Lepisosteus oculatus: one gene and its partner. The main gene of each other region encodes a partner of the protein of the gene in region 2 in a complex. Links are inferred from orthologs where the notes say so. Each region holds a gene or a part of one and is shown on either strand. Other genes may lie near its edges. The genes, in order: cdh26.1 and ctnna1.

Region 1 (16,462 bases), on a different chromosome or scaffold from region 2:
AGATATAGTCATGCACTTTTATTTTAGTACAGTCAACTAGAATTTGAGTAAGATCGCTCTTACTTGACTTAACGTGAATTCGTTTTTCTCATGCAAAGCAGTCACATAAAATGTAATATAAAAAGGTTTTTTATTTAATTCATTTTAGTCTTTAGAATGTTAGGGAAACTAACTTTAGTTCTTTTTACTTTACAATGAAAACTGTTCTAATTAGATAACAGTAAATACATATAATAATAGTATAGCAGTTTTTATATATATTTTCCAAATTATGCAAAGATTAGGGACCTTGACTTTTACTTTAAGAAAATAAAAGAACAATGAACTAATTTACAGTGAAAATGCACAAAAATCATTCAATCATCAAATGGAATTTGACAACAACCTGTGGAAGACCAAAGAAATGTATGTATCTTACAGTGAGCAGTGGACACTATAACAGTATAATAGCGTCTATCATTAAAATTTCTCTTCTCTCGGTACTGCTACATGATTTCATACATTTGATAACATTCTGTCAAAGACATATGTCTTTATTGCATAATGTAAAGCAGATTAATCTCTAGAGACATAAAAGATCCAATACAAGAAATAACTGTGCAATAAAGGGTTAATAAATAATATACAGAGACATCACATGAGTCTTTCCCAATGGGAATGTCTGTTTTGGCACTGTTAATAATAATTTCATGAGGTTTTTCCTCAGAACCCAGTATTATTAATGTATTCAGCTGAGGTCCTTGCCAAGAGTGAATTTGCAATAACTAAACTATAGGGAAATTACTGCAGTAGCTACTTAGAAAATATAGTAAAAACCAGACAGGACAAGCAACATACAGTACTATATACAGTATATTCCTTCACTCTGATATAATATTTTTCATAACTAGCCCTTTTGACAAAATATTATTTCAGTTGAAAAACTACCATGGTCTAAGAGGAATTTCAACTGTCCTTCAGATACACCATCTCTGCAGGACCAGGCAAGGCCAGCCCACAGGAATGTAAACATTTATTAGGGGCTCTCAACCTTAGGTCTGTCAGTCCGCTAATTCCAGGCACTTTGTGCACTTGGGCACCTATCTAGCTTGCCTTACATGTAGATATCAGATCTGAATCAAGTGTGCATTCATAAGAGGAATAAATGTGGAACTCCCATAAAAATGACAAGTTCAAGATGTTTATGTTATTGTAGGTATTTAAAACTGTAGTTTTTATTTCACATCCTTGTCTTGCATCCATGCAGAGCATGTACTGAAAGTTCCCTGCCCTTAAGGGTAAAGGTGTGGTGCCCATTACTTAGACTAACCCGTAGGAGAGCTTTAGTGATAAAAGAAGCTAGATCCTAAGAGACAAGGGGTGTGCCTAACTGAATACAATTCCAAAACAATGTACAAAACTCTGTCATTATTATCAAGGAGATGGCATTGTATCTCAGGTTGCTTTGTGGGAACCTGTTCTTCCAGAGCTCAGAACTACTATCAATCATCCTAATTTTGTAGATCAAAGATTAAAAACATTGTCAATTACACATACTGTAAATCAAATTAAGAGCATTTTTATGGCTTGTTTTGAACGTTGACATTTTTTAAGATCATGCGTAAGTTGAAATTCAATGTAAAGGGTCTATTGACTAGTGAATAGTGATGTGACTATTGACTAGTGTGTAAAAAGAAGCTGAACAGCATCTAGTGATTGTGCCAATATGATAGGAATATTCAAAATATACAGAAGAAAATATGCTGCTAAAAATCGAAGAGGCTTTATTGATTAAGAACATTTTTAGACACTTCCTTCAAATAAGGTAACCTCCTTGAGTCCAAGAAGATTCGGTAAGTCAGATTTGTTGTGGGTAATGTCAGCCTTGAATGACTAATACAAAATGCTAATTATCTTTGTTCTGTAAGATATTTAAAGCAAGCTCATGCATGCTTCAAAGAAATCTGAAAGTTAATAAGTGTACATTCCTTACAGATGTAAACATTTAAAAAACAAGCTGTGATATGTACATAAGCCAAATTCATTTTTTCAATATCTTCCACTATTAACACATGTTACAATGAGTATACTCTATGAAGAACTGTGCTTTTTTAAAGAGTTTAATATACTAGTGGAAAAAAGAAACACAACATTTTCTGGAATGAGAATACTACAGTTGTAGCTTATGTACTGTACTTTCACAAAAAGTTGTCCATTTGTTATAAGCCTTCTGACCAGCAATACAGCTTGTGCAGTGAGGCATTGCTATTTCCCACACGAAAGCTCTTTAGGTGCACTTTTACCCAACAAGGTCCAGGTGGAACAATGCCGGTGTTGTAATCCTCTCATCCAGCAATTAAAAGTGTGTTACCAACTGTAAACTTCCTTATAGACAGTCATGTGAGCACTAACGAATACTGTGGGTTTCATTGTTGAGGCTGCTTGTATAGGGGCCAACATCAGAGAGCTGTTTTCGAGGGCTTCCTTGTGGATGGCTTGCTTCAACTCCTGCCATAATATTTCAGTGAGATTTAGGTCCAGACTTTGACTTGGCCAATCCAACATATGAGATTTGATCTCCAGCCATTCTGTTGTAAATGTTGTACTGTATGTTATGATCATTGTCTTGCTACTGTATGTGTCAGCACAGCTTCAACTGGTGAATGGATGGTCTGACATCCTCCTCCAACATTTGCTATTACAATGCTGAATTCATGATTCTGTAAATGGTAGCAAGCTGTCTGGATCCTGAGCTGGCAAGGCACCCTACAACCTTGATACATCTACAGTCATGCTTGTTGCTAGAAGCCAGTTTTTGTTTTTCACTATACCAAATTTCTCATTGTGGCCAAGAAGTTCAATTTTTGACTCACCTATCCAGGGAACATTCTTCCAGTATTATTATAGAGTCTGGGACAGGCAACAAAATTCTTTTTAGAGACCAATAGTTCCTTCTTGTCTATTCTCCCATGAAAACCATTCCTGTTTAGCTTATTCTTGATCACTGAGGTATGAACACTGACATAAGCCAGTGTGAGACAAGCCTGGAGATCCTTGGATATTACTCTGGGGTTCTATGTGATTTCCTGAATGACTTTCCGGTGGCTCTTTTAGAGATCTTGGTAGGATAACTGGATGATATCTAGATGTAGTAGATGGATGGATTCCAAAATGTTTAGAAATTGTTTTATAACCTTCTCCAGGCTGATAAGCATCTGCTACTCCTATTCTAAGGTCCTCTGAAATCCCTTTTGATCATGTCATGAAGTATAAACTCTGTCCATGTTTACTTGTTACTCAATTATTTAACCACCTGATTCTATTTACTACTCCTTTAATTATGCCAAGTAAACTAGGGATTCACTTATTATTTTTCCAACACTGTTAATTATTCATTTTTGTCTACTTCATGTTTCTAAACAATTTAACTAGTAAATACTGTATAAACCCTTTTGCTAATGGACAGGTTTTTTTTTACCAACCCAGGAACTCTTCTAGTAAGGTGCAAGGTACTATCAGTATGGGTGATCTCATCATAGCAAAGTTCAAAATTGTACTTCTCATTCAAGACATGTGTTTTTAAGGAAGGTGCCTATCCATCCATGTAAGCAATCCAGGAGTAGCTTAAGCCTCATGATATGCTTTACAGGTGGATGGATTTCTGATCCAAAATCTTTGATCAGTGAAGGTGAATGTGTCTGTGGAGAAACTGGCTAATTGAAACCATTTAAGCTCTTATGTATCTGACAATTCCTGATGAAAGCCCTATGCTTGCATGAAGGTACAGTATGCTCAAGATTTCTGTTGTATCATCAATTTCATGCAGAGAGGCCTGACCTCTTCTACTGCCACTGATACTATTTTAGAAGATCCTGAAAATACTCATTGAGTACAAACAGTACTCTTCATAGAATATTGCATAAATTGGACTAAAGTCTGCCAAAGCATCACTTATTAGCTACAACAATTGATACCTTTGCTTTTTCTCATGTGACATTTCCTTCCCAGAAGACAAAGTGTTCACTACAGATATGAAACTGCCTTACTGTCTATACCTGGATAGGCTTTCAGGTGTTGTGGCAATTTTCTAGCAGCAGCTGACCACATAAAATGTCAGGATAATGATGTATTAGATAACATTCACAACAAACAAATATTTAACTTATTGATAATTAATCGTTTTAAATTTGTACATTATTGTTCTTCCATATTTATTTCCAGTACTGTATATGTGTCCCCAAACTATTTTTGGCAACCCCGTGTATAGACAATCTGTCAAGATCTAAGTAGCTACAAACTCTTTTTGTTCTGATGGGAGCTCAGTAGTATCAGCAGCCAACTCTTGATTGACCTCATTTTAGTATTTTCACCCAAAACTCTCCCTCAGCTCCAGATGTTACTAAAAGCAAAGATACCTGAAGGATTCCAGCTGGGAATTAAAAGAGACAGCATTTAAACACAATGCTAAGCTATAACTGAAAAACACACCTACATGTAAATTGTTCAAGGCACTGATTATAATCAATTACAGGACCAAAAAGACTAACCGGTTTACAGGCTCAATTGCTAGGTGTGTTACCGTCTTCATCCAAATTCTGTAAACATAATTTGTTGCAGATAATTATATAGATCCATACAGTGGTTTATCAAACAAGTTTTTAATGTCAGATGATATATTTTCTTTTCCTTCTTACAGTATTTCGTTCTTGCCTCATATTTATTAATATGGAGACCTGGGTTTGATCCTGAGGCGAGAGTAGAACAGTGGCAAGAGCAGAAACCTCAAGACCCCGAATTTGCTACATTATTCTCTTCTCAACACGGCTTATTCATTAGAGAATAAGACCCTAAAAACTTCTATAGTAAAGTTCAGAAAATGGTAACTCGTTGGTAACTCAGATTCTGTGAATCTTTTGCCTTGAGGAGACAAAAGAGAAGAAACATTAAAGGAAAAAACAAGCAATTGCTCTCCTTAATGCCACTTTGTAGATTTTAGGAAGAACTTTGGAAATGTAACTGAATATATACAATGCCAATTGTTTTACTTTTCTTTATTTATGCTTTACAATTTAAGAAAGAATTATTTCCATTTTTAAAATATATGCTGACAAGTTTTGCAAAATTGCATGACAGAATAAGATATTGGTGAATTTATGTCACATGGCTATTAAAATAAACAGTGCTTGCACATTTTCTTTGGTAGATTAGTAACGAAATTAATCTAAAATTCCAACTAAATTCAACATCTTGGCTGGGAAACCTGTTTATACCAACAACAATATTTCACAATTCCCTAAAATGAGGGATGATTCTTCTTGCTCCTCATTGAACTCTTTCTAAGACTATAATATTCTTTTTGTGGTTTGGTGACTAAAACTGAATACAGTATTTTAAATGAAGCCCTACTAATCTGTTATAATCTTTGCTCAAAGCAGTCTCTTAAGCATTCTGTTTATTTTTTATTGCTTCCCCACATTGTGTTAAAGAGAAGATAAATCCACAAAAATAACTAAATCCTTTTCATATCTAGCTTTCTACAAATTCTTTAGCACGCATATGATATGTATACTAAATATTCCCTCTTCCTTTATGCAGTCCTTTGCATTTACCAATCTTAAATTCCATTAGCTACAATACATGTGTGCTCAATCCATGATTTTATCTAAAGGTTTTTGTAAGCTTTGAAGCTGCTTCTGTTTGCTACTCCCTCTGTTTTCATCTGCAAATGTAGCTAGATTGCTAACCAGAGTCTTGTAAATCATCAATATAAACCAATTAGACCAAAAATGCATCCCTGCAGCACAGAGATATTAAATGTCAGTTAAAAACATCTTTCTTTTCTAATTCCATGTTGTCTGATATCATTTTGTAAATATGCTTGTAGTTTAGATCCAAATATCATTAGACCATAATTTTACCAGTAACAACAGTAAGACTGATCTCTCCACAACAGTTTATTCTCAGTTTTGCAAAACTGTGGGTATACCCTCATCCATAGTGGCAGCTGAAATGTTCTAGTTAAAGTCAATGAATAACATTCTTCATTTTCTTAAATACAACCTGGAAAATGCCATCCATCAACAGAAATTTGGTGTAAGATGCCCTGGTCTCTGTAATACTTCAGTGTCAGTTATTATCACTAAACATCGTACAACACACCTTGTATGGCTTGGGACATATTTGTGATATACAGAGCATGTATGCTTTTGTTAGAATTGTTGAGTGAAGTATCAAATCAGCACATTTACAGTACTATTTATTCTTCCTCTTCTAGTATCAATCCTGTTTTATCTCGCTATCTACAGTATTTACTTCAGCTATTATTTAAATCCTTCATGTGGTAAAAATGCATTTCCACATATAAATACCAATTCTTTTTGTTAAACTATTTTAAGCCATCTGTAAAACACATTTATCAGATACTTGTTTATTCTAGCAAGAAGTCATTGTGTTCTAAACAATTAAAACGATTGTTAGAGATATATACTGACTATATTCTGTACCTTGTAAGGAATGCTTTGTTATTTAGAGTTTATCAAATGAAAGTATTTGTTTATTTTGACCAACTAAGGAACAAAGGAAGATAATGTTTTACTCAATTTTCTGCTGCTAAATTAGTTACATCATAATCATAATAGTTTACAGCTTTTTGAAATTTACAAGTCGCAAACAATATAAAATTCCACGGAAGTGCTACTTGAAATTTCACCCTTACAATTTAGTATAAAGATAGATAGATACTTTATTGATCCCGTGAGGGAAATTGCAGTGCAACAGCATCTTAACACAGACAACAGTGTAATGAATGATACAATGATAATAATACAATACATACAATACAATCAGTAGAAGAGTTACTCGCAGTCCAGAACACACAAAGAACAGAACAAAACCAGAACAGAACAGTACACAAAAAAGTCGCATTGCACAATATGACTATAAATAAATATAAATGTATTTCATATCTAGTTCATATCTAGTTTCATATCTATACTATATGTGACCTGCTTTTCCATAACCGGCCCTATCATTATTAATTTTAATATTATTGAACTTATATTTTCATAGAATTGTAGATACAAATGAATTACATTTTACCTGAATTTCATAAATTCACTCTAGGTTTTGGAGTACTGCCCAGTGTCTAGGTAAACTACTTCATGAGAATTTGCACAATTGGTGTAGCTGTAGGTCACATAAACAGGAGACATGTTTCTGCAACAGCTGAATTAATATTTTCGTAAATACATCAACAGCTGCTGAAACTGTACAACCAATAAGTATTCCAATGAAATAATCATAGAAACAATAAGTGAAAGGTTTTATATACAGTACTGAGACAACCTTTATCGCGAATGCGTAGAAATAAATGCAGTGCAGGATTCTTCCTTATACAATTATCATCGTTGTCGTCATAATTTATTTCATGCTATTTCACGACCTTACTAGTAAGTTTTATCGTTAGTCGAATTAGATCGACTGTGGGGGAAAACATTTTAAAATGTTTTTTTTTTTGTGCTTTCCATGTGCTACCTGTGGAGACATTAATAATTGATGTATTTTGCTAGGGTCCGACACTTGCTGGGTTATACAGCTTTAAAACATTTTAATAAAAGCTACTTACAGTAAAACAGCATTAACGCACTACAGTTATTTTTATTTTTTTTAACTTTGTGGAACATAACACTTCGAATCATTGCGTCTCTGTTCATCAGAATTAACATATTTCGCTGTCTTTTATGTTGGCAGTCGTAAAGTAACATCCATTAATTGTAAAAGTAACGAAAGTAAGCTACATTGTCGCATTATAATGGACACAATATTGTACTTACAGTTAAAAGGAGAAGAGTCGTGCATTTTGCCATCCAAAAGACAATAGATCCACGCATATTCTCTCAGTGGTAACTTGTACTAATACGTGGACGACGAAACAGAAAACCAAGACTGTAAGTTTGTGCTCCACTTAACCGGTGTGTGTGTGTGTGAATTACTGTAGTCCCCAACTGGAAGCAGCCTATCAAAGTCAAGAGTCACTTTTCCACGCCTTCCGTAGCTTTAATGTCTGTAACAGTCTGGGGAGCAATCAGACTTCTGTAAAATGTTCCCTACACACAGAATATTCATAGCCGGAAAAACCTGAAAGGTCTTTTTCTTGACCAATCCCTGTAGGTGACGCAGGACCACCGGTTTAGACAAACATGTTGAGAAATCGAGAGCGCATGAACTGCAAATTAATCATATTTAATTGTTTTGTTAGGGTTTTTTTTTTTTGGAAGGGGGAGATTTGTTGTTGGAATAATTAATGAGTTTGGGGAAGATCAAATATATTTAATATGGCACGTTAATTTAGGTGCAGGTAACCTGGAACTCAACTCATTCACATTTCTAGATAACTATGAGAAATGGTGGATAAAATGCCAGCTTTTATTTTTATTCCAAATTGAATTCCCAAACAGTGATCATTCACAAATTCGAATAAATTGGTCAATCGGGCAGCTATTTCCACTGTGTCTTAATGATGAGCCTCTTAAATATCATGTCTTGTTTTCTAAGTTGACTGTTCTGTAGTGGACGTAGCTCGTCTATTTTGGAAACAGTTTTGGAAAGTGTTCAATTCACGTTTGTTTTGGTAACATTTCTACCATTTTGTTTTAATATACTTTAATTTATTAATAATGATACTGTATATTAAGATTTAATTGTGTTTCTTTTTTATATAACTGGTTGTATTTCAATTTTGAATATAAAATATTCATTATATTTAATACTAGTAGAGAATAAAAACACATTTATAAAGATTAGATTTGGAGCACAATGTAATGTGATCCTAAAAAATACAATGAACTAGCTCAAGATTGTCACTCATCAAACACTAGAGATAAGCCATTCTCAGGATTGACAAACTGTGACAAACTGTTCTTCTTTCGTCTTCTTATTCAACACAATTTCTATTTTGCTTCTTAATTATTCATTGATTTTGTTCTGTGAAATCTGAATGAGCAGGAAGAACTGACAGGGGCTATGTGTTGCTCTTTAAGAGTAGTGGGATGGTTTTCATGAAGAGAGAAGAAAAAATATCTTCACTAATCCATCACAAGTTCCTCGGTAAAGGAAGTTTATCCTCTTAGCTGTTTGTAGTACAATTCTCAAGCATTTCCAACTTAGGTGAGGAAGAGCAGTAAAGTACAGTATACTCACTGACCAAACTATAAGGATACCCCTATTGAAATGACTACATTCTGTCCTTGGTGGTCAATGAACTGTACAGTATAAATTGACATAAGGAGCAAGAGACATGCATCTTTCACCCTCTCTGGGTAGAATCCACAATCCACAGATCTATTGAAAAAAAAAAACTGGTAGAACTGGTGGGACCTACAGTGGAATCCCCATCACCATTAGTGAAAATGATCGCCCAGGAAGAAAGGGGGCTTCAGAATATGTGAAAACATTGTGAAAAACAATCCGTGCTTTCACTGCTGGCAGTGAGTTTATTGTTATGTTGTTTTTTTTTCATTGGACATAATGGTTTTCTTTTAGTTTTGATTGTGTATGAAAGTAATTTACTTAATTTTACACCAGTTGGTGTCCATAAATATAGCACTTTAACAAAAACGGCAAAAAATTAAGAAGGAGTAAGAAGATTAAGAAGGAGTTTCCAACTCTACAGATGGAATGAAGTTTATCCAGCATTGATTTGACCTTTCTCAATGTATCTCCAGTATTTTAGAAGGGATTAACAAAGCTCCATGTCTCAGCCCACATTCATTTCTTTGCATTATAACTGTATAACTCTAACAATGACACATGCCATAGCTATTTGAAGCCCAGTTTTTTTCATGTATTATTATTTAAAATTATTATAATCCAGTTTCCCTCCAATATACAGTATTTTAAAATGTTATTGATCGAAATGAAAATGAAATGATTTGTATAAAGTAACAACAGCTATACTATACACAATCGTGACTTTCCAAGCACTGTATGACTTGTGTAAAGTACAGTTGTGTACAAATTTGAAAATGCCTCAAAATGTCTCTTTGAAAAATATTCTTCCTGGCATTTTAAATTTTATTTATATTTTCAGTATTGTTTAGAATTGGGAGAACAAATAAATAGACATGTCAGGCCTTTGTGCAATAAAAATCTCCAATCTAAACCAAAGAGGCCATTATTTCCCTCATTATTTAACCGAAAAACTTTGACTCGAAAAGCTTTTTATTGTTGTTGTCCATGTGAAGAGGGTTAATAAATCTGTAATTTGTAAAACTCATTAAATCTAACAGTCAATATAAATCTGAACAAATTGGGATTACAGAAGCAATGGGTCATTCTAGTTAAATTTGCATACAGTACATTTGTCTATATACATGTATGGACAGAAAACTGGGAGAACATTAAACAACCTTGGAGTACATTAAAACTTTAACCCACCCATCAATGGGAACTCATAAAAAATGATGCCTTGTGCCAGGTTTCCACTGGGTAGATGTACAAGGCTTCTGAGTGAAAAAAAAAATGTAATTAAGTGCCAGGATTGGAAATAGAATGTAACCGTTCTGACCATGGTGATCTGTTCTGTCATGTTTGCTTACACTTCATCATAAATCAGCAAACTAAAAGCAAAACTCTTAAGTGGAAATAAAATCATTAATACAACATTACACCACTGCAGAAATAGCAATAGTGAGTATTCATCAACAAACAAATTTTAAACCCATAACAATTATAATAAACCGTATCTTATATAGCACCTTCAAAGATGGCTTCTCATAGTATTTAAAATAAAAAAAACACACAAGGAGAGGATGCAGCAGAATTAACACAACTACAATAAGGGTCGTTGTAATGGAACTTATTTCTCAATGAACAGGAATATTCTTATTATTTAGCTTCAGTGATGAATACAGAACAAATAAATTGTGGATAGGATTCCAGAAAGTGTTCACTGATTAGCAAAGTGGTAAAATGATAAACTCAACTACAAGGATGACACAGTAGTGATACTACCACAGTACTAACTAGGGAACTGCACTAGGGAAAAGCCTAGTTTGCTACTACTTTACAGTCTACAGGAATGTACCACATGCTGCACCATACCCACTGTCAGACAGGAGAGATCACTCCCATGGATCATATCCTCTAATATTTAGATGTATAAATTTATATGGTAAACTTTTGTGATGGGACAGAAATAATTTCAAATTCTTTGATTGTATGTGTTTTGAATTAGCGTTTCCATACAAAACAAAAAAAATATATCTCTTGGAAAAAACAAGCTATTTAAAAAAATGTACACTCCCAATGAAAACAAGGACCATCAATGTAATTGTGCAAATCGCCTTAACATTTTATTTTCTGTGGAGTATCCTGCTTTCTCTGTATTCAGATACAATCTCTAAAATGGTAGACACAGACAGCTACCGGTACATTATTCTAATTATGTTTTTCTTTCAAACGTATATGCCGCCACAAGACCTAGGGCTCTTTGGTAATGCTAACCTTTTTATTTTTTTTATGCCATAATGAGTCATTATTTTCACTTTGATTTTCTAACAGACTGACCTTTTAATTTCATTTGTACATGTCATGTGCAAACTTGATTTGTTCGGAGATTTCTATTTGAATCGAATTGCTTTTCAAAAGCCGCTCACTTCCAAGAAATTCCAAAACCGTGGAGCTGTAGTTATCCATTTTTCCGTCTACTCGTGATCCACAGCTATCATCTTAAGGAAGGTGATTGCTATCTGGGGGGCTAGCCTAGAAGATGCTGGAGGCAAGGTCAGACAACACCTAGTTATCCTGGGAAATCCACGTCTCAGGGGGTTTGTGTGTCTGCAGGATTTTATTCTAACAATACGCATCTACTCCATATTGGCTTAATGGAGCGAATGTACAACTTCTCACAGCTCTTCAAGTGCTGGTGCTTGGAAAAGATCTATAATACCTACAGACACACCAGCCCTAAAGGAGCAGTATTGCCTGCTCCTGGACCGGAAACCAGTTCATCACAAGAAACATGTACACATCAGAACAATAAAAGACACCAGTTAACCGGTTATTGAACCATAGGAGGAAAGCAGAGCACTTGGCCGAAACTCGTAGAGTGGAAAGGATATGCAGATTCCAGAGAGAAGGCATCCCAGTCCAGAATTCCAGACCCAGGTGCTGTGAGACAGCCACACCGTCTGCACAGCATCAGAGCCACTTGATTCAGGTGTTAAAAATCCCTCGACTGTGAGAAAACCACGTATTAGAGTTTAATTCAGAGTTTTACAGCTTAATTGTTATTTTAGAAAAATGGCTCTTTCCAATTTGTAAGAATGCAATACTATATTACCTTCTAAGAAATATTTCTTGCATCTCAGTGTTGAGAGTTGCAAGGACCTGATCAATTTTAAACATGACTTGTACTGCATCACCAGAACATTTGCCAAGTAAAGAAATATTACATTTATACAGTAGTATAGCATGTATGTCTTTAGAAAATGAAACTATACAGGTTTGGGATACTGATTAAATGATTTTAATGTCATATTGATTAATGAATTGTTCATGACTGACATTGATACACTGAACTGACTGACTCTTGCACGTGTGCTGAATTGTCTCATTAGTGACAGAGTTCATTGGAAACAGGTAATGGAAACAGGCTTGCCAGGACAGAAAAAAATTAAACAAGACAGAACATAGAAAGGAACTAATGTGCCGTGCTAAACAAGAGTGTAATGCCTTTGTACCTCCAGGATGTTGTGAGCTGTTGTGACTAAACCTGCAGTGGAGCCAAGTCCTCTTCGGTAGTAAATCAAGGTTTTATATTGCAGGGCAATAAAGTAATCACTGTTTACAACAGACCAATGTTTACAATGGGCAGTGCTGGGATAGCCTAGAGTGGGACAATTGACCTGAAATATTTCTGTTATGAAAATCCATCTGTTGTGTGCTTCTGGTTTATCACTTAGCTTATTCTTCCTAAATTTACTTCGCTTTTTGTGTCTGTGCTTTTGCAATTTTTTGGTATATTCATTTGTGTGCTTCTAATTTTGACCATGATTCTCCCATCCCTACCCCAAGTATCTGGTACCTGAATGGCAGATAATGGAAGAAGAGCCCTGTGTTTACTGTATTCTTCTCTAGCCTCTTGGCTGTGCTTAAAGTAGTGCATATTTCCATTCATTCCTGACTAAGGATTTGGGTACAGTTCACATGTTACCTGTGTATGCAATCAACTGCCCTTCTCCCTAATTATACTGTAGAGAGAGCCCATGCAATGCATTTTTTATTAGACAAATAAAATGAATGATGTGCCTTGTGTTTTGTGGTTACCCTGTTTTACTCATCATTGATTTACAGTACTTCCTTGACTTATGAACTGCACTGAACCTGCATATCCTGCATGTAATACATTTGACATGAACAGGACTGATTAAAGTGAGGATAGGTTAAAGTGAGTTCCCAGCATGAACTATGGCATTGCTTGATTGAATCTCAAATACAAAAAAAACAAATCTACCTGAAGTGGTGTGATTTCTAATATATCTGGATCTCAGTCTTTTAATTCCTCTCTTAGACATTACAGAGTCCCTTTAAACCACACCTATAGACTCTGTTGCTTTCAGTGGTTCACAGTGGTATGTTATTGACCAGTTCTCAACCTAACTGTGGTTTTTGTCACATTCTTTGCCAGACTTTCCTGCTTAATTTGAACCTGTCTTTCCTGATTATCCATCACTGTGTCAGAAACTTAATGAAGAACCTTAATTAGAAAAAAACCTTGACATGCTGATCATGTCATGATGATCTCCAGCTCCCAGGGTATCTCTAACAACTTTTTTCTTGACATGTTCTTGGAATTATTCCAAAAGGCAAGCCCAGTTCAATTAATGTAATACGATTTGCATTCTCACATTTTCCTCTTTCACATTTTACGTCACTCGTCTATTTTCGTCTTGTCCTGTAACACCTTATTTATCCATATGTACACCATCTTTTTGGTTACGAATACACAATAAATACAAAACAACAAATGACAAAAACAAACTACTACCTGTCTGTCAATCCAGAGTTGTATCTAATTCAATGGTCCCTGGTCAAGTCAAAAGTCTCAGCTTTCAAGTCTCACATCAAATGCCTTTAGAATGTGGGCTGGAGATTGGGATAGATTTAATATGATGTGTAAGAACCACGTCCCTAAAATTGCCACACCAAAGTTTCAAGCAAAGATTAAACTGCACTTTAGACTCCCTTAATCTAAGAATTTATAATATAAACGTAACACCAATATCACTCACCTCCAGCCTACAGTTTTCCTAAATACGATGTCAGTACTGTCTATAATGTTAGCCAAAAAATAACTTCTAAGATGGGAAATACAGCTTTACAACAAACTAGATTCAATCCAGATAGAGTTAAAATAACTTGATCTCCTGTAGAATAACATGGTAGGAATTCCAGTCAATATTTGCTCCCTGCTTAAGGATTCAGATGTTACTTGGAATCAAGGCAGAAACAGAAACTTCTAGAAACAGATCTATGGGCTAGCCTCAGTGTGGCTTAAACGCTGGCACATTTTGGGAACCTCTGCATGTCCTCGTTTGAAAGCAACGAGTCTTGGCCCTTAATGGTATTATTTATAGGGAGCTTTACTATCACCCAGATTCATCTTGTCTGTTGGGGATAGGTAGATTGAGGTACGGAACGTCGAAATGGATATGTCAGATTTTTAGTGTACTGTGATACTTCCACTTGAGTGTTATTACTAGTTTCAATGGCTGATGCTTTTATTCCATTTGTGCTCAGTTATCCAGCTGGTTATTCTTCTTGAACAAATTGGGAAAGCACCTTTGCTCAAGGGTACAACGGTAGTTTCTCTTCAGGGATCTGAACCTGCCACCTTTTAGTTTCGTCCAAACCAACAGCTGCTGCTCAGTACTGTCCAAGAAGTGTGTGATTCTATTTCTGCGTTACTTTGAATGGCATCTCCTCGGAGGTACCACTCTTTTTACTGTAAGGAAGTGGAAAGGGATATTATATGCTGAGGTAAATTTAGCTTTTTGTATTTGGGTTGTTCTGTTTTGAAACATTGAAATATATAAAAAAATATTCACATAACAGGATGTTTGGCCAGTGATGGGGTTTTGCTGTCCTTCCTTTCTCCATTCTAAAAGTACTTCCACCCCCAACCAGCACCTGACCTATAGAAATTGAAAGTGCAAGAGCAACTGATATAAAAAAAGAAAATTTATATTGCCCATGTGATTGAACAAAGTCTGGTCCTTTGAAGATGGATGAATACTTCTGCAATATACAGTATCAAGAAATAATCTCAGCATAATAATGCTTCTAGATAAAGTATACAACATTTCCTCATTGTGGCTGGTGATCACACATTATTGAGTAGCTTTCACTTTTGTTTTACTTGTTTTTAATCAAAGCAAAAAACGCTCCTCAAAAGATTTGGAAAAAAAATGCTAAGACTTGATTATTATTATGTTGGATATTATGTCTTAAATCTTAAATATGGAGAATACCCACTGATCCATAGATCGCTCATGGTCATGGTCTTAGTTTTATCAGAAGGTTCTTATATTGTATATATGTATTCTTAGTAATTTTGCCATGGGGGTTTTTGTTGGTTGTTTCTGGGAAAAATACTGTAACACTCAATTGCCTGCATCTACTGCTATATTAATGTCATTATCATCATTATCTTCATGATCACAATTTTTATTATTATCATTATCATTGGTAATTCAGTATGTAATCAATCATCTTATTCGCAAGAACTTGTAAAGTTGAAGCTCGTAAAACTAAAGCCCTTCCAGATGAAACAGGTTGCAGAATGTGAGAAACCAAATGTTTCATAAGAATCAACTAATATCTAGTACTAAATCTCTGGCTAAAATGACTACATTTGTAAGTATTTTTTATTCTATTGGAAGGAATGAATTATGATTTCTTTGGCAAAAATATGAATGCTTTAATAGTAGCATTTTTATTTTGTAAAATAAAACCCTTTAATTAAAGCGATATAATCTGTACTTTCTGGAAAAACACTAATGTATGTAGTTAATCATCGTTTTTTTTTAATTGTGGAATATAATTGTATGTAATATACTTAATATACCTATCTAATATTACATGCATTAACTGTACTTTCTTCCTTTTGCCAAAGGTGTATTTACAGTTACAGTACACATACAGTACTTTGTCTTGCAACAAGTTACAGTCCCTTAATAAATTTTCTTTCTGGTATCAGTGATATCTATAGAACTCTTAAACAGAGAGATCTGGCCATTTCAAATGATCTCATAGGTATTATTGGCTAACCTGAGGGGAATGTTTTGTTGAGCACCTTATATAAAGTTTCTCTGTCCTAAGGGGCAAAGCTGGAAAAGAAAACACAATCTGGGGCACCTGGTAACAATGAAAAATATGTTCCTTGTCATCTTTTTTGACAATGGGCGCAAGTAGATTTTTATGT
Region 2 (15,680 bases):
TAAGACTGCATCTCTAAACAGAAAGAAAACTGCTGCAAACAGGACTTGACAGTCTTTAACATTTTCCTCATGCACCACATTACCAGTGGCTGAAATCTACAGCATTTCCTCTGTTTTTTGGGACTATTTACAAAGCTCTGGAATTTATCTAGTACTCTTGAGAATGAGAAACTTCTCCCAACCCCAGTTTTCAGGAGAAAACCGGTTCAGAGATTATCAATTCAGAGACAGTATACCATTTCTTACTGTGTTCCTATGAAAGAATATATATCTTGAATAGTAATATTATATGAATTAAAGGACAGTAGTCATGGCAACATCCCCAAATGCATACCACTAAACTGTCATTTTCGGTTTTAATAAAGCCAAGTTCATGGAATTAGTTCAACCACAATTATGCAGTAAGAAGCAAAATTAAAACTGGTTGATAGATGAATAATTAAAATGCAACATGAACTGGAATTATACAGTGCATATTTGAGCCTTAAGTAAAATTCTTACTTGGGTGACCAAGGGCTCCAGCAGCCTCTCCACAGCCAAAGTCCTGATCTCCAGGCTCTTTGGGTCCCATTTGAAGTTAATGTTCGCTGTGTTAATGCTCGTCATGTTAATCCAGTATCTGAAAAGGAAGCAGGCAGGTTGGTTATTCATCTACTGGATGGTATCTCTTAATAAAATTAAAAAACCTTCAGTTTAAGGTTAATAAAGCATTAACAATATAACAATGTTGGAAAAGCAGCAGTGGTCAGACCATAAAAAACACCTGGATGAAAGTTTACCAGCATAAAAGCAACAAAAACAATGAATGGTTCTCTCATCTGTAACTTCAAAAGTTACCATCTAAAATAAAAATAGAATCCAAACTATTGCATTGTGCTGCCATAAAAGCAGTTCATCTTCTGTGTGCCACTTCTTGAATTACCATTTAGACTTAAACCACTTTAAAGCATTAAGCAAGATATGCCTAAGGCTGCTTAGCCCCATCTTCCCAGCTGGGGATTCGAAGAAATAATGTATAAAAGCTAAAAAAAATTAACACTTCTTTTTTGCACTTTAAACAAGATAAGAAGACTCAAAGCCGATGCTGAAGTTTGCGAGAAATCTTGCAGCGTGAAATACTGCAGAAATCCTCTGGCAGACATGGATAGTTTTCCATATTATAAAGACCAATTTAAGCCGATCAGAAGATATGCTTCCAGCAGCAAGTCGTGACACTTTCCTACACAATTAAAATTGATTAGCTTATCTGAAAAGCAATCTACAAACCGGGGGAGAAACCTGCAACAGCAACTTCAGAAACGAATTTCACCAATATTCAGATGTGGAGCAAATTTACCTAATCTACATTTCTCTCACACCTAATTAAAATTTTGATGAGTGGGGAATCTCACATGTAAACTGCAGAACCTAAGTGCATGATTTCTTAACTGCACTTCTGGACTGCTCCTAACAGGTCATGCTGGCCAACAAGACTAAACCCACATTACATCTGAAAACTTCAGCTTTTACAGAGGTATGAGAAGAAAGTCACAGGGAGTAAAGCACTTTCCACTGACCCACAACTGTCAGAAATAGTGGGGGTGCAAAACTCAATATATCCTTTAGCTAAACAAAGGATGTTTGCAACAGCTATTTTCATAGACATGGGAGGATTAAGACAGGCATTGCATCCAGAAAACAAATTACTTTTAGCGTGAAGAAATTTGTCTTTTTTGCCGAGGAATCACAAGTGGCTCTGCTTGGAAGTACACAACTGTTTTCAAACAGTTAAGAACCACTACTGTGGTAAGAGACTTCCAACAAAATGAGGAGCACCAGCTGTCTTCTATTAGTACTAATCAGTCACAGATCTGCCTGTAGCTATACAGAACTGGATGAAGGGAAAAAAGTCCATAATTTAAAAACAGGTTTATGCAGCCTGCACTGTGGCAGAAACCATTTGCAATGATAGTGAAAAATGTAACTTTCTTCCAGACAAATCTGAAAAAACAACATGTCTAAATGTACATTTCCAAAAACAATTAAGAAATTAAAAATTAATTTAAAAGAATTATCCTGTGATCTTACGTAAGGAGCCCATTCTTGGTAACTACCCTGGGTCCATCTGACTTGGCTACAATATATCAATTAAATACCAGCAGAGGTTTTGTACACATGAAGCAGTTTACAAAAAAAACTCAATGCTCAATTATCTTTTAGATAAACAGACTCAACCTAAACCTAGGGTGTGTTAAGGAGAAGCAAAAGCCTTACATTTCATAGTATCAAGACTAAACCATTTTAATTAAAACCCACACAACACAAGTTCTTCCCATGAACTTAAAGCATGTTTTTAATCCAGTTTTACAAATAAATCATTAGCTGTACCAAAGCTTCCAGTAATGTTGGGCCTAATGTCCGGTACAAGTTTCATTTACTGAGCACTTCAAATCTTACAGGCTTATTGAAAACAAATTACAGACTAAAATTTATTTTTGGTACAACGTACAATAGAATACAGATCATGGACAAAAAGATTGATGTGGTTCTTTAATTAATTAAGCAAATAACCTCTCAGCATGTTTAAGGTCACTCTTATATAACATTGAACAGGACGGGGTGCCGATAATTATGGCTAGTAGCATGGCTGCAAGTGAACACACTCGGTCATTTTGAAAAGGGGGCAATTGTTGGGGCTTGTTTAGCTGGACAAGCCAGCTCAAATCTGCAATTTCGTGAATCTGCAATTTCATAAAGTGAGGTCAGCGTGGAATTTCCAGAAAAGAAAGAAAAGGGCAACAGTTAGCAGAAGCATATACTCCAGGATCATCATATCCAAAACAGAAGTGCAAAACACAAATGATCAACTGCAAACTTTAAACTGGCTGCTTGCGTGCCAGGCTGATCAAAAATGCTCACTGTAAACTGCACAGAGTGGGATACTTTAGTCAGGTTGCAGCTCAAATATTACTAACCACTCTTGGAAATGCATGTTTTCGATTCCAGTGGTGCAGGGAGCGCTGGCAATGGACCACTGATCAGTGAATAAATGTGACGTGCTCAGGTGAATCATCCTTCACTGTGTTCAGGACAGACAAACCTACAGGCCTGAGTGCCCGTTTACAACACTGAAAGGTTCAGGTCCATAAAGCTGTGGGCATTTTCCTGGCATTGGTTTTGGTCATTCCTTAGAGGGCAAAGTCCGTGATAAACTGCAATTATCATTCAGAAACGAGCAAACATTTTAATCCCATGATGCAGCGTCTCTTTTATGCTGGGAAGGGCGTCTTTCACGGTGGCAAGTCCCCCCACAAGCAGAGCACAAATCCATATCCATGCCATGACATTCTCAGTCACCACATCGTAACCTCATCAAGCATTTGGAACGTCGCCCTAGACAGACTTTTCCACCTGCAGAAGGAGCTGACTGACTTTCTCAGATGCTGGCAGAATCTGTGCCACAGGGTACACTAGTTTTTACTGTTCCAACACCTTAAATGACTCTACATTCATTGTTCAACTTGTTGTAGAGTAATATCAGATGTCACCGGCAAAAATCAGAAACACAGAATAACCATAGCTTCCCTTGGACATCTGAGACAAAACTCTGAAAAGCATATTATTTATAACTACCTACAAAAACAAATCACCTACCTACTGAAGCAGACCGAAGAAGGAAGAGCAAGAGCAGTTCGATATCGTACTTGATCAATAAAACAATACAAACTTTCTTTAAAAAAGCTTCACAAGGTCAAAGTACCCATTTTTCCCAGCAATTCAGGGTTCCGGAAAAACTCAATTTCCTTAACACAGTTCCACAATTCATAAATTTGGGGACCATATAAAAAAACAGGAAAGGCTTGCCCTCAAAAAAAAATCAATTTAACGAGTTTACTTCCCAAATAGCCTAAATGTTTCACATCCCTAAAAGAGAATGACAGTTATTAGGTACAGCAGAATAATCTTCATGCTCATTTTCGATTTGCTGTAGATGCGACAGCCGCATCTTCATTGATTAACCGTCATGCATTGGATATCAAGGACAACAAGCCCCCCAGGGGGTGGCAGCTGTTAGGAAGCCAAGCTGATTGACAGGGGTGGTCCGATGGGCAGGACACATGCTCAGGAGAAGCACTTTGCCCAACAGCAGCAGGTCCAATACAAAAAAAAACTCCACAACAGATTCCACACTCACTTTACCAGCACCAACTAATAAACAGATACCAATTACCATATCATCTGCTGTGCAAATATGTTACACGTCTGTGTATAACATAAGCCTCAGGAGCTCTGATGGGCTTACATTTTGGATAACTGTAGGGGACAGAAAATATATTTAGACATGGAAAAGTTAAATTAGTAAGACCACTTACAGACTTTAAAACTTTTTTACTATGCTGGACAGTGAATATACATAGAAAAAACTTTTTTTTACAGTCTTAGTTGAAGGGGAAAAAGCTAAAATACCCAACAAAAAAATGCCACCCTGATTTATTACTTAGGATAAATTCAGAAATTGAACATTCCCACCTCTTAATTTCTAAACGGATTACAACATAAAAATGGAACTTCATTTATTCCGTTTTTGAACACACACAGGGAGCAAATTAACCCGCTACACAAAAGTCAAGCAAAGATATTCCTGATACAGAGCTTCCACATCTTAAATACAGGTAGGCTACACAGTGCAGTGAAACAGGTCAATTTAGGAGCAGTGTAAAAAACCAAGGCTTGCCTTAAATCACAAATTGGACCCTCCCACCCCCTTTCAATTTCAAACCTACTAATCGGTTGTGGACAGTTATGGGCAAACCAGACCCTTCTTACAAAATACCACATCGGGTCAGAGCCATCTGAAATTCATTTTAGGTAGCTAGGTTTGGGTCAAGTTTGAATATTGGCCCAGGTATTTCCATAAGTTTCTGTTGTCTTAAAAATGGTTTATTATTGTAACGGGATGAACCAGGACACACTTTTCTGCAACATTTGTAACAGCCTCCAACCTTCCCCAGACATTTGATTTGAAGACTTAAGTCTGCAAACTCTATTGTGGAGAAGTACTCCAATTTATCAGAAATTTCCTTTGAACTTGACAAAAGCTTAGTCAGGTGTACGTTTTTAGCCATGTCTTACAATAGTCTTTATTATTTTATAAATGTTTTTCAAGTTATTGTTCAGAATTCAATTTAGAAACAAGCGAGAGGGCAGCAACTTTAATATAAATAACTTTCTAAGAATTGATGAGCATTCACAATAGCCACGTTTTATCCAGATAAATCCCACGCTTTCAAAACCCGATTAGCAGTGACAAGTGTTAATAAACAGGAGCTATGATTGCAAATTGAACTAATTAAAAGACATTTAGTCGAAAATGTAACCAAATGTTAGATGTTTCTATTGTAATAAAGCCAGACTTCGCATTACACACAGGAAAAATACTAGACAGGTGGAGTCGGTATACAGTCCATCACTCCTTTATTTACTGAAAGTCTCGTAAAGATTGTTAAATACCCTAACGCCTACTTGCCTAGGAAGTATGTAAAACTTTTTCAGTCTTATTTCCAATCGCTAAATTTGATACAGAAGCAGCACGGAGGACTGTCAGTATTTTGTTCCGAGTTACTTTTATTTTTAAAACCGTAACTACGTTTGCAGCCTTGCTAGAAGTGATTACACCGGGGACACTCAAATTCACCATCAGTAGAGGGTCCGACTTAAAAACCACCCCTGACCACCGAGGCTGGCCTGATATCGCAGCACCCACAGAGCAAACACTGGGCAACGGAGGACGATACTGAAATTAAAGGACACGGTATATCGGGAAACGGGAAACCCAGCATTACTACGCGCTTGGGACAACCGGAAGTTCTTGCCTAATGAGTGCCCAGCCCAACCCTACCCCCACCACGAAAATATACGTATATTTTATTTTCTGGGAGATGTGGCGTATCTGGTTTGGTTCGTCTCAACATTCAAGAGACAACAGAAGTACAAAAAAAGACAACAACACAGGTGGTAGCGGCTTGGCACATTCCTGATGAAATCAGTAAAAAGGGTGGATCATTCCCAGATTATGAAGGGCGGAACACGGACCCGACCAGCATGGGAGTATCCTGGGCCATGTTAATTTAACTTTCAATCGCCCTGGGGTGCAGGCTCGAAACAGAACCGACGTTCGTACAGTAACCAGCTCAAAACTTTAAAAAAAAATAACACATAAGCTAAGGGAACATCATTACATAGTCTGATGGTAGGGCGGACCTACTTTAAAAAGACGCACGAAAGTTCATGCGATTCACACGCTGGTCCTTTAAAAAAAATGGGAAATTTGTACAAATTCATTGCTTCGCTTTTATTTTTAAAAAGCCGCAGGATAAAAAAAAGAAACAAGTCGGAGGCAGAGCGTGTTTCAACCCTGTTGAGTAACTTTTTTAAAACTCATGCTGTGGTTAAGTCTGTGCTTAGCATGTTTTTTTGGGGGTCAAAAAGTAAGAACTACCAGCATTCCCCTAAACTTAAAATGAATACTAAAACTTACAGGACGTGATCTGAACACACGTAAAACGTGACTTTTAAAAAAACACTAATTTAGTTTCCCTTCTGAAACTTCATTACTTTTAGGCAGGGCAGCCCTGAAATGAAATGGAGAAGCCATTCTTCCCCATAAACAATTAAGTCAATCGTGCTTCTAAAATAGACTTCTTATGCTCACATTTCGAATTACTGTCGGAAAAGATACAACGGTGCTTAATGGGAAAGGTTTTTAAGCACACAACGCTTAGAGGAAAGCTCGAATAAAACGGTGAACCCTCCCAAGTTAAAACAGTCAAAATGGATGAACCCTGCCTATCGCGTTGTTTTCAAAACAAACGATTGTGTTGCTCTTTTCTAGCTACAATTGTTCAAAACACGATTCATGCGTACCTTGAAACACACGCCGCTTCCGATGTTGCGATTTTTTTTTCCCCCCTGGAACGAAACCCTAATGAACAAAAAAAGTTCAGTTTTGAAGTTTTCGTGAAAAGTTTTTTTTTTTTTTACTCCGTCGTTTTATCCCTCCCGTTCGCCCGTGCTCCTCCGCTCCACCAAACTTCCCAACTCCGAGAGGAAATGGGATCAGCGCGGCTGTTACACGCCACTCCTACGCTGCTGCTGCTGCTGAATCCCTGAATCACCCTCCCCAGAAGAAAATAAACTTCCGAAAAGTCAGCTAACTCGCACCTTCGCCTACGTCGTTTCTTATATTCGGGATAAAACGTAAAGAAAAAAAACAAGCCCTACCTTCTCGAACTTTATCCAAGGTTTTTTTTTTGGCCTTTTCCACGTAGGGGGCGGGGGGGGGTGCTAACTCCTTCCCGGAATGGCGAACACACAGGCAGTGACTCGGTGACCGACAGCGAGGCGCCCACACCCAGGCGGTCAGGTGTGCCGGGGGAGTGGCCGAGCTCCGCGCTTACCTGCGGGCTCCCGCGATGACGTCTTCTCTCCGTCCCAGGTGTCTGCAAGTCGCGGCTCGCTGCCTGGAGTTTGCAAGACGTGTTTTGTTTGTTTTACTGTTTTTGAACGCTGGGTGCAGTTTGTCTGCGGGAGTGAGCATGTTCTGTTTCTTTTTTTTTTTGTTTGGTTTTTTTTTACCTTCCGTGCTTCCAAACAGCCGTGCACTCGACTGTCAGGCGTGTGTGGTTTAAATCCCGAGGCCTTCTCGGTTTTTTATTGTGATGTCGGAGGTTCACAACTCGTGATTCCCGTAGACGACAATAAACCACCGAGACTTACATAGGCTTGTTGAACACGACGCTTTTAATGCACTTAAAACTTAATCGTGTAGGAGGACTAAGCAGTTTAGGGTCAGTTTCGGCTAAACGTCTGAATTGTGTGTGATGTTACGTCATTTATGTGCTTTGATTATCTTCATTGAAATGATTTGTGATTGTATTACTGAGTGCTAAGAGCCTTTAGAAAGAAACCGCCAAAATTCATATTTAAATACCTACAAGGATTAAAAGTGCTCGTATGAGATACATTTCTCATGTTTTATAAAACGTGTGCATAATTACATCCTGAAGCCAAAATGAGCTGAATAACAGTTTAATACTCAATGCTATTCCTTATTTTGCAAATACGTTTCTCCCTGCCACACCGATAAGATAAATGAGCTCTGAGAGAACTCAATCTGCTTCACCACTCCCTCCATACACAATCACCCTCCACCCAAAACGTTGCATGTAAATATATTAGATGAATTCCTGAGCTTTACAATTACACTGCACTTTTTATCAGTACTAGATCCTCAGGCATTCTTATGTCAGCAAATAAAAGCTATCTCTGTAACTACTGAAATGCAGTTTCCCTAAGGCAGAAAACAAGATATCTATTTCGGCAAACTGCTGGATATTCTCAGTAGTCTGATGACCTGAGGCACGGGAGGAGAGACTCTCAATGCTTAAGTGAATGAAGACGCTAAGACTAAGAACATCTGAGAGAAATAAAAACTTTGCAGTAGTTCGTTCTGCTAATAACAATCTGATTCACAAAGGTTGGATTTTATTTTTTTGAGAAACTAAAATAAAACACTTAACGGGAGGAAACAGTTAATAAATCAAAGTTGGAACTCAACAATCAGGGGAAACTGGAGGAGGAGGAATCAAGCATATGGGTAACTGTCTTCCCATGAAGCAACACTGTATGATAAGGCAGGTGTTCATGAGTCACTGCAGTGGGAAGACAGAGTTACATCACACAGAGCCTCTAGCCTCTTACAGAGAGTGCGTTTATGAGAACAGAAGGAGAGTACCTGAGAAGCACTGTAGATCTGGCAATAGGGCATAAATGATTCAAGTTCTTTTCTTTCCTGTCTTACATCAAAGGAGGCTTAAAGAGGACAAATGACATCTTTGTTCCGTGTTCATAGTTCTTGCATTTTCATGGCGAGAACTATGTTTAATTGAAGCTTTTTTGTATCTAAAGGGATCACCAATTATGAGCTGTTTCTTTATCCAATCAGTTTATGTTTCTTTTTTTACCATTGCGGGGAGGCATTATTCTTTAAATAGCCCAAATACTTTATACACACGTCAGTAAGAGGGTTGAAACTACACAAGTCCTCCTTTCTTACAGCCTGCAGTAGCTTTTGAAGGTGTCTGGTCCAAAGGAAATTACCAATTATCTCTTTCAAGAAACCTCTATTTTGAAACCTGTCAAGATTGTTCATTTACAGTACAGTGTTGGTTCCCTGTGATACTGACGGAACTCAGTTGGTTTTGATTTTATGCATTATTTTGCTTCACAGGCCTCCATTCTTATGAAAGAATAATTTCATGTCTGTTTCGGCACCGAAAGCATGTTTATACAAGTCATGACCTTTTTGCATGAGAAAAACCGTGTCTTTGTCACAGATGCTTATAGTACACAACCAGAAAGCTTTTGAGACGTTCAGAAGCTGGAAGACTTTCTCAGCTTATTGTACTACAGTACTTATTTTTGTAGTAAATTAGTGAAACAAGTGAATAGTACAGTCTAACTAGACAAAATAGAGTATAAGTGAGGTTGTGGCTGTATCTTTGAAAGAGATCTACAATCTTGCTGCCTTGGTTGCTTGATTTATCTAGTGTAGTTGTCTTTTTTATACCAACTTCAAGTCGGCAACATATTATTCTGCCTTTTCTTAATTTTATTCCACCATATTCTAAAACCGTTCTATTCCAAGCGTATTATCTGCTGTAAAACTGATTTTAAAATGTTGCAGGCAGTTCATGTATAGCAAGTAGCAAGTATATAAAGAATCAGTCATTAAAGCCGACAAATTCTAATATAAAAATTTATTGAAGTGTTCTACCGAACCTAAGTGTTTATTTAGAATTTTATGGAGTTAGGGCAGTTATAGACAGTATAAGGATTTTTAGGAGCTAACATAAAAATAAAAAACAAATAGATATAGAGCACACACATAAGAGGCTTGGTAGAAATGATATGTTAGAAGGAGATGGCTCTACATAAAAATTAATCACTGTATCTGTGTTTTTTCCTTCTTCAAACATTTGCTCCTTTTACTATGTAATATGGTCATTTCTCATGTCATGTTTATCTGTGCTGGAGAAGGTTGACAGCTTTAACAATTTAATTACGCACGGGCATCTTTTTCTCAGGTTGAAATTATTGTCACATTTAATTGTCTGCTCCATTTCTACAAATAAATTTACATAAATAAATTTAAAAAGCCAGAAGCCATAGGTCGTAATACCAATTAAGGACTGAAGGCAAAACAGTGGCATGACAAAATCTAACTTCGACATCTGTGGATGAAAGAGTGTATTAATAGCTCAGACATAATGATGTGGGAACAGGTAAAACACAACAATCACTTTGCTTTTGCACTGGATTTAGACAATTCGGACTGAAGCAATAACCTCCTATTTGAATGAAAATGGTTTATTTTGAAAAACATCGTTGTTATCTCAATCCAGCATTTGTTTAATGTAAAATATATAATAATTTGCTGGGTATAAAAAAGGCCTATTTTAAATAAAGAGCTACTGTATGATGTAAACGCTAAGAAGTCTACATTGCTTATAAAGAAAATTATAAGCAATGTATATAATTTTACAATAACTGATTATAGTACCATTCAGTTTCATTTTGCTTTAAAATCAGTTCCCTCTGCATGGCTTGAGTCAACTAAGTTACAATGAACTGTTTCTCACTATCTCATTCTGATTAATGAGGAACTGAAACTTGATACCCCCTGTAAAAACAGCTATTCGATGCATTCAGGATAGGGGTTTAATGAGGACAAACTTCACAATTACATGGGTGTGTAATGAGAGTGCATGAGCACTGTAAAATGTGAATTTATTTAATGTAAATAGGTTGTATCCTAGTTTTTAAAAGGGGCTTTGGGTTGTATAATGGAAAAGGGAATATTATTCCACCCAAGTAAATTGAATGAATAGAACAGTATGGAGTTGAAAATTCCACTAGGATTGCTTTAAATTTCATCTGAAATACAAAATCGATATTATATAAAAGCACACTCCAATGGATTCTTTTAGTTTTGTCTGAAGGTGTTCTGTCTGTGTTTAATGGGCTCTGGGCTTCTGAATCTCAAATGGTCTCAATGGAAGCACCACACCCAGCTGACAAATACTGAAAGCCATTTACAAGCCGCTTTGAAATTCACTGTGTCATCAAAGGCAGATTCGAGTCTCATCAGTGCAGTATTTCATACATCTGTATAATGAAAGCTGCGTGCAATTGCTTTGTAAAATTAGTGAACTGATTAATAGTGCAGATGTCTATATCAGGGAGTATCATATTTGAAAAAAATCACAGGAGTACTTTTCTGCAATCAGGATGCATATGTTCCTGTAGTCTAGTAGCTTAGTATTTTCTGTGGTCTCAAATGCATAATACCTGTATTTGTGAATGAAATCCTCCTTATGTCTCTTGCTTAATAACACATGATGTTTGAACAGTTTTCATATCTTCTTGAAAACCCTGATATGTAGGCTAAGAAGCATGCTTTTTATAAACTGCTAGAGGTTTACGGTTGTTTTGTGTTAATGTAAAATACCTTGTAATGTTGTGTCATGAAAGGTATTTTTAAAAATAAAGATCATTACAAGTTATGAAGGCAATCCTACTCGCTCTTATTCTTTGATCTGTTCTTTATTAAAAATATTGTCACAGGCTGAAGATGTTAAATGGAGAATGCAGGCTACTAAGCTTTTCAGATTTTATGTGTGGTAGATCAAGCATCGGTTAACTAGTTTATTCCATTCAGACCACATAAAATTATTTATGTCAGATTGCAACCATGATCTTTTTTTTTGTTTTTTGTTTGCTAATTAAAGAAATTTGAACAGTTTCATAACAAGATATATATAAACTTCCTGAACTAAAAATCTAATTCTAATTTAACTAAACAATAACAGGACTTCATTTAGATTTTACAAGACCAGGCTTTAGATTTTTAATAGAATCCTAATCACAGCAGATTCAAAATTTTACAGAATCCTTGGTCAGGCTCTTACTCTTACTAGATTAAATAGAAGTATTGGGGCTTGTTGATCTCATTCCTTCTATGATGGGTGTTTTATAGTGAAATGGGTAAACTATCGAACTTATAACAGGTTATGACAGGTATTGCTGTTTACCATTAAGTGAGGTACAAGCCAGGTACCACAGTTGTTCCTGTCCACCCAGTTGCAGAATTGGAGACCAGTAACGCACTGTCTAGTTTGCTTATCACTACAGCAACCAGGATGAGCTCTGCACAGATGAGCAGCTATGGGTGTGGTCTGGACTTTACATTTTTTTTAGTTCTGTGATGTCACCTGGAGGATGAATCTTTGTGAGTCCATTAACATGGCACTGACTGAAGCATCAGGTTTACTCTCGAAGGCTTTCCTTCCAATTAATGTTACTATAGCAATCATTCAAACTAGATGAGCCAAATTATTTTATCTAATTAGTAACCTTTCTTATGTTCCTATGAGCAGAAGGCAGTGTGAATTGAAGTCTGGTCCCCAGCACCACTGGGGAGCACAGTACAGAATTGTGTTTCTGCTTTCTGACTTCCAGTACCATGTAGCTGCTGCACTTCCAATTCTGTCCTGAAGGGGTCCACTGTCAGGTTTTCACGGGGGGGGGAATGGATCTACTGTATACGGGTTTGGTACCATAGTATGTATGTCCTGCATATATTCAGGCTCACCTGAGCCCCTGAATTGGACGAGGAGGTATTAGTGACAGAAGTTTAATTAGAAACTTTAGATCCTGCCTATCTAAAGGAAACTAGATGAAATGATTAAGTACTGCATGCTTTTCTAGGCCAGAGAAGTGAGAGCTTCAGTCACAGAAGGTCACCATCCATATGGTACATTTGAGATCTACTGGCCATTTGAAAAGGAGTATAATGTTACGTGTGGCTTCTGTAGGCACTGGAATGTGTTTTTATTTACTGTAATGTACTGTTTTTATTTACTGTAATGAAATTACCATGGAATTTTTCTTGACGATTAGGATAAAATAAAAACCAAAATATGTAAGATCATGATGATTTAATTACTAATCTGGTGCTGAACAGATTGAGACACTCATCCCTTGTAAAACTATGAAAATGATCCCATTAGCTACTTTGAAAGAATAATGATTATTAATGCTATTCTCGCAATCCTCATTAATGCAAAACATGTACTGTATAAGATACAACTTTTGTTTACCTAAAAGACGAGCCTAAAGTGATGCTTTTTTCCACAAAGCCTCAATGCATTTTAAGCAGTCACAATTATTTAAAATTTGTCTGTCTTTAGGTTTGCGTGAGATAAGTCCAGTCATTCACAGGCATGGAGAGGAAAAGAACTGATGGATGCGTTTCCAAGTCAATCTTCCTTCTGGATCACATTTCTCGTTTATTTAAAAAAATCTATTTCAGTAAATGTGGATTTGACTAGCAACAAGTCTACTGAAATGTCAGTTTACATGTTTATTTTTTAAATGAATGCATAGGGTTATCTACTCTAAACATGCAGTCAATAAATTCAAACAGTTCTTTAGGGAATACTAAATCTAATATTTATGGAAAATAATCCTACTAAGCATTTTGAAATATGTGAGTTCTTATTTTTTCTCTAAATACAGTACTGATAAACTCAATAAGTTCTAAAAATGCAACTACTGTAAGTTAAAATTTAAATTATCATTGCAATTAATAACATTCTAAAAAAAATGACTTTTTATTCACCTATGTTTATTCTCAGTGAACATTCGTGATTTTTCCAGTTCAAATTATAGCCAGATTAGTGGTCATATCGAGAAATGTTCACTGCTCAAACTGAAGTTTTGTATTTTTCATGCATAACAGGGCTTTTTTTTTTATTAATGCTTTTTCAAGGAAGAAACTTGAAGAGATTATCTCTTCCATGACAAAAAAGTTTTGTTACAAGCTTCCCTCAGGTGCTGAATTGTTTTGTTCTGAATTTTCTAAGGCTTAAAAAGCCAGATCTTTCAGAGACCTTCCAAGAGTAAATTAGATGACAGTGGGTTTTGTAAATGGCTGCGGATGTTATTTAAATATAAAAAGGAATGTGCTTTGGTGTAGTTTGCTGCTTACAAGTAAAAAACAAATCAACAAAAACACAAGGTGTGAAGTGCTGAGCATCTTATCACTTTTTCATTGTTTTCCCCTACTAAAAGATTTTGAAGTCAATAACCGAACTCTAAAATATATAGCTAAGCCTTAATAAAATCAAATAAATAATAGAAAATCACTTTACAGACTCATTCGTTGTGCTACTTGTTAGTTTCATTTAAAGTAGATAAAAAAGAGAGTTAATATTCCATATTGTATGTCAGTAAAACCCAGCCTAGGTACATTATTCACACCCTTTGGGTGTAGTATAAAAACATGACTTTATTATCAAACCTGACAAAATTAACTTAGATGGTGAAAAACCAACTAAATTGCTTAAAATTCTTAAACACACACTCAACAAATGTGTTGCACAATTAAAAGAAAAATGTTTAGATACAGCCCAGGAAAGTGGTGACATATACATTTTTCATGCACTCAGCAGGATACAGTGATGTTCAATTTGCTTCTTCAAATCATATAAAGTAAGGTAGGTCTACTGCTGTAATACGCTATTTAAAGCATATGATGTCCCGGAAAGAACAGTCAATTGAAAGATAAACAAAGTAGAATTTAATTTGTTGTTTACAAATTTTGTATAAAATTCTAAATTTATTAGGATTTAAAAATCTGATATTAAGAATTTTACCGTGAGAGAATACAGCAGTCCAAGACTAGATGACAGGTCATGGAATTGAGATACGACTGGAAAATATTACCTCACTAGATAAGAATGAATGACCAGTCAAGACCCTTGCTGAAAGCTGTAAACAGTACATTGGTATTTGATAGCAGGCTGTCTTTTCCATCATGCCCCTTATGACCACTTTTTAATAAGCTGTCAAGAATGTTTTATAATGCTGTAGTTTTTAGTGCAGCATATTATAGTAAGAGCAAACTCCCACCTTTTCCAATAGTTAGAACACTGTTAAAAACAAGGGCAATTAAGAAAACAACATATTGCCTTTGCTTTGATTTTGAACTTAAAATTCGGGCTGTCTTAAAAATGTCATTTGCTTTCAAAACTAATTAGAGTATTTAGCATTCTACAATGCAGGGTCATAGGGACCAGCAGAAAATGCCTTGGACTGGGGCTTTACACAGGAATCCTCTACAAGAGAGGATTCAGCAAATCAAATAGAGATTCAGCATTAGTCTTGATACTGTATAAGATTAATTTATTTGAACATTTATGAATTGAAAGTATTTGCATAGGAAAAGACTTTAGTGCACATATACTCAAGTTGTATACATTGAAATGTCATAAGAACACTTAGGCAGTCATTTTCTACGTATCAGAAATTCTCCTGAGGTACTGTACTACTATATCAACGCTATGATCTTCCTGTTCATTAATTGTATAAAACAATAAAAAGGTTAAGTGGTGATCGGGGCTCTGAATCAGGTCATCAGTTTGCTTGACTGCTTGACTTCCAATATGACGAGGTGCTAAAGACTCTGTTGCTCCATCTTGTTTGTCACCCATATTATATTATTACCCACATTTCCCTGTGATATCTAAGTAACTAATACATATTAAAGGAAAGTGCAGATTAAATAAATAAAACATGAA

Evidence for each region.
Region 1: ctnna1 (region 2) and cdh26.1 share a complex: the UniProt entries of both Homo sapiens proteins name them as parts of the cadherin:catenin adhesion complex. The link is inferred for Lepisosteus oculatus from reciprocal best matches to the Homo sapiens genes CTNNA1 and CDH26.

Annotation. Positions count from the first base shown.
Region 1 is NC_090711.1:8,682,882-8,699,343, forward strand, and holds the start of cdh26.1 (cadherin-like protein 26), read right to left. Parts: upstream 8,056-16,462; 5' UTR 7,869-8,055; coding exon 7,812-7,868; intron 1-7,811. UniProt on the Homo sapiens protein: Cadherins are calcium-dependent cell adhesion proteins. They preferentially interact with themselves in a homophilic manner in connecting cells; cadherins may thus contribute to the sorting of heterogeneous cell types.
Region 2 is NC_090706.1:36,608,049-36,623,728, reverse strand, and holds the start of ctnna1 (catenin alpha-1), read right to left. Parts: upstream 7,457-15,680; 5' UTR 7,437-7,456; intron 7,367-7,436; exon of another isoform or gene 7,261-7,366; intron 6,962-7,260; exon of another isoform or gene 6,904-6,961; intron 620-6,903; 5' UTR 607-619; coding exon 502-606; intron 1-501. UniProt on the Homo sapiens protein: Associates with the cytoplasmic domain of a variety of cadherins. The association of catenins to cadherins produces a complex which is linked to the actin filament network, and which seems to be of primary importance for cadherins cell-adhesion properties.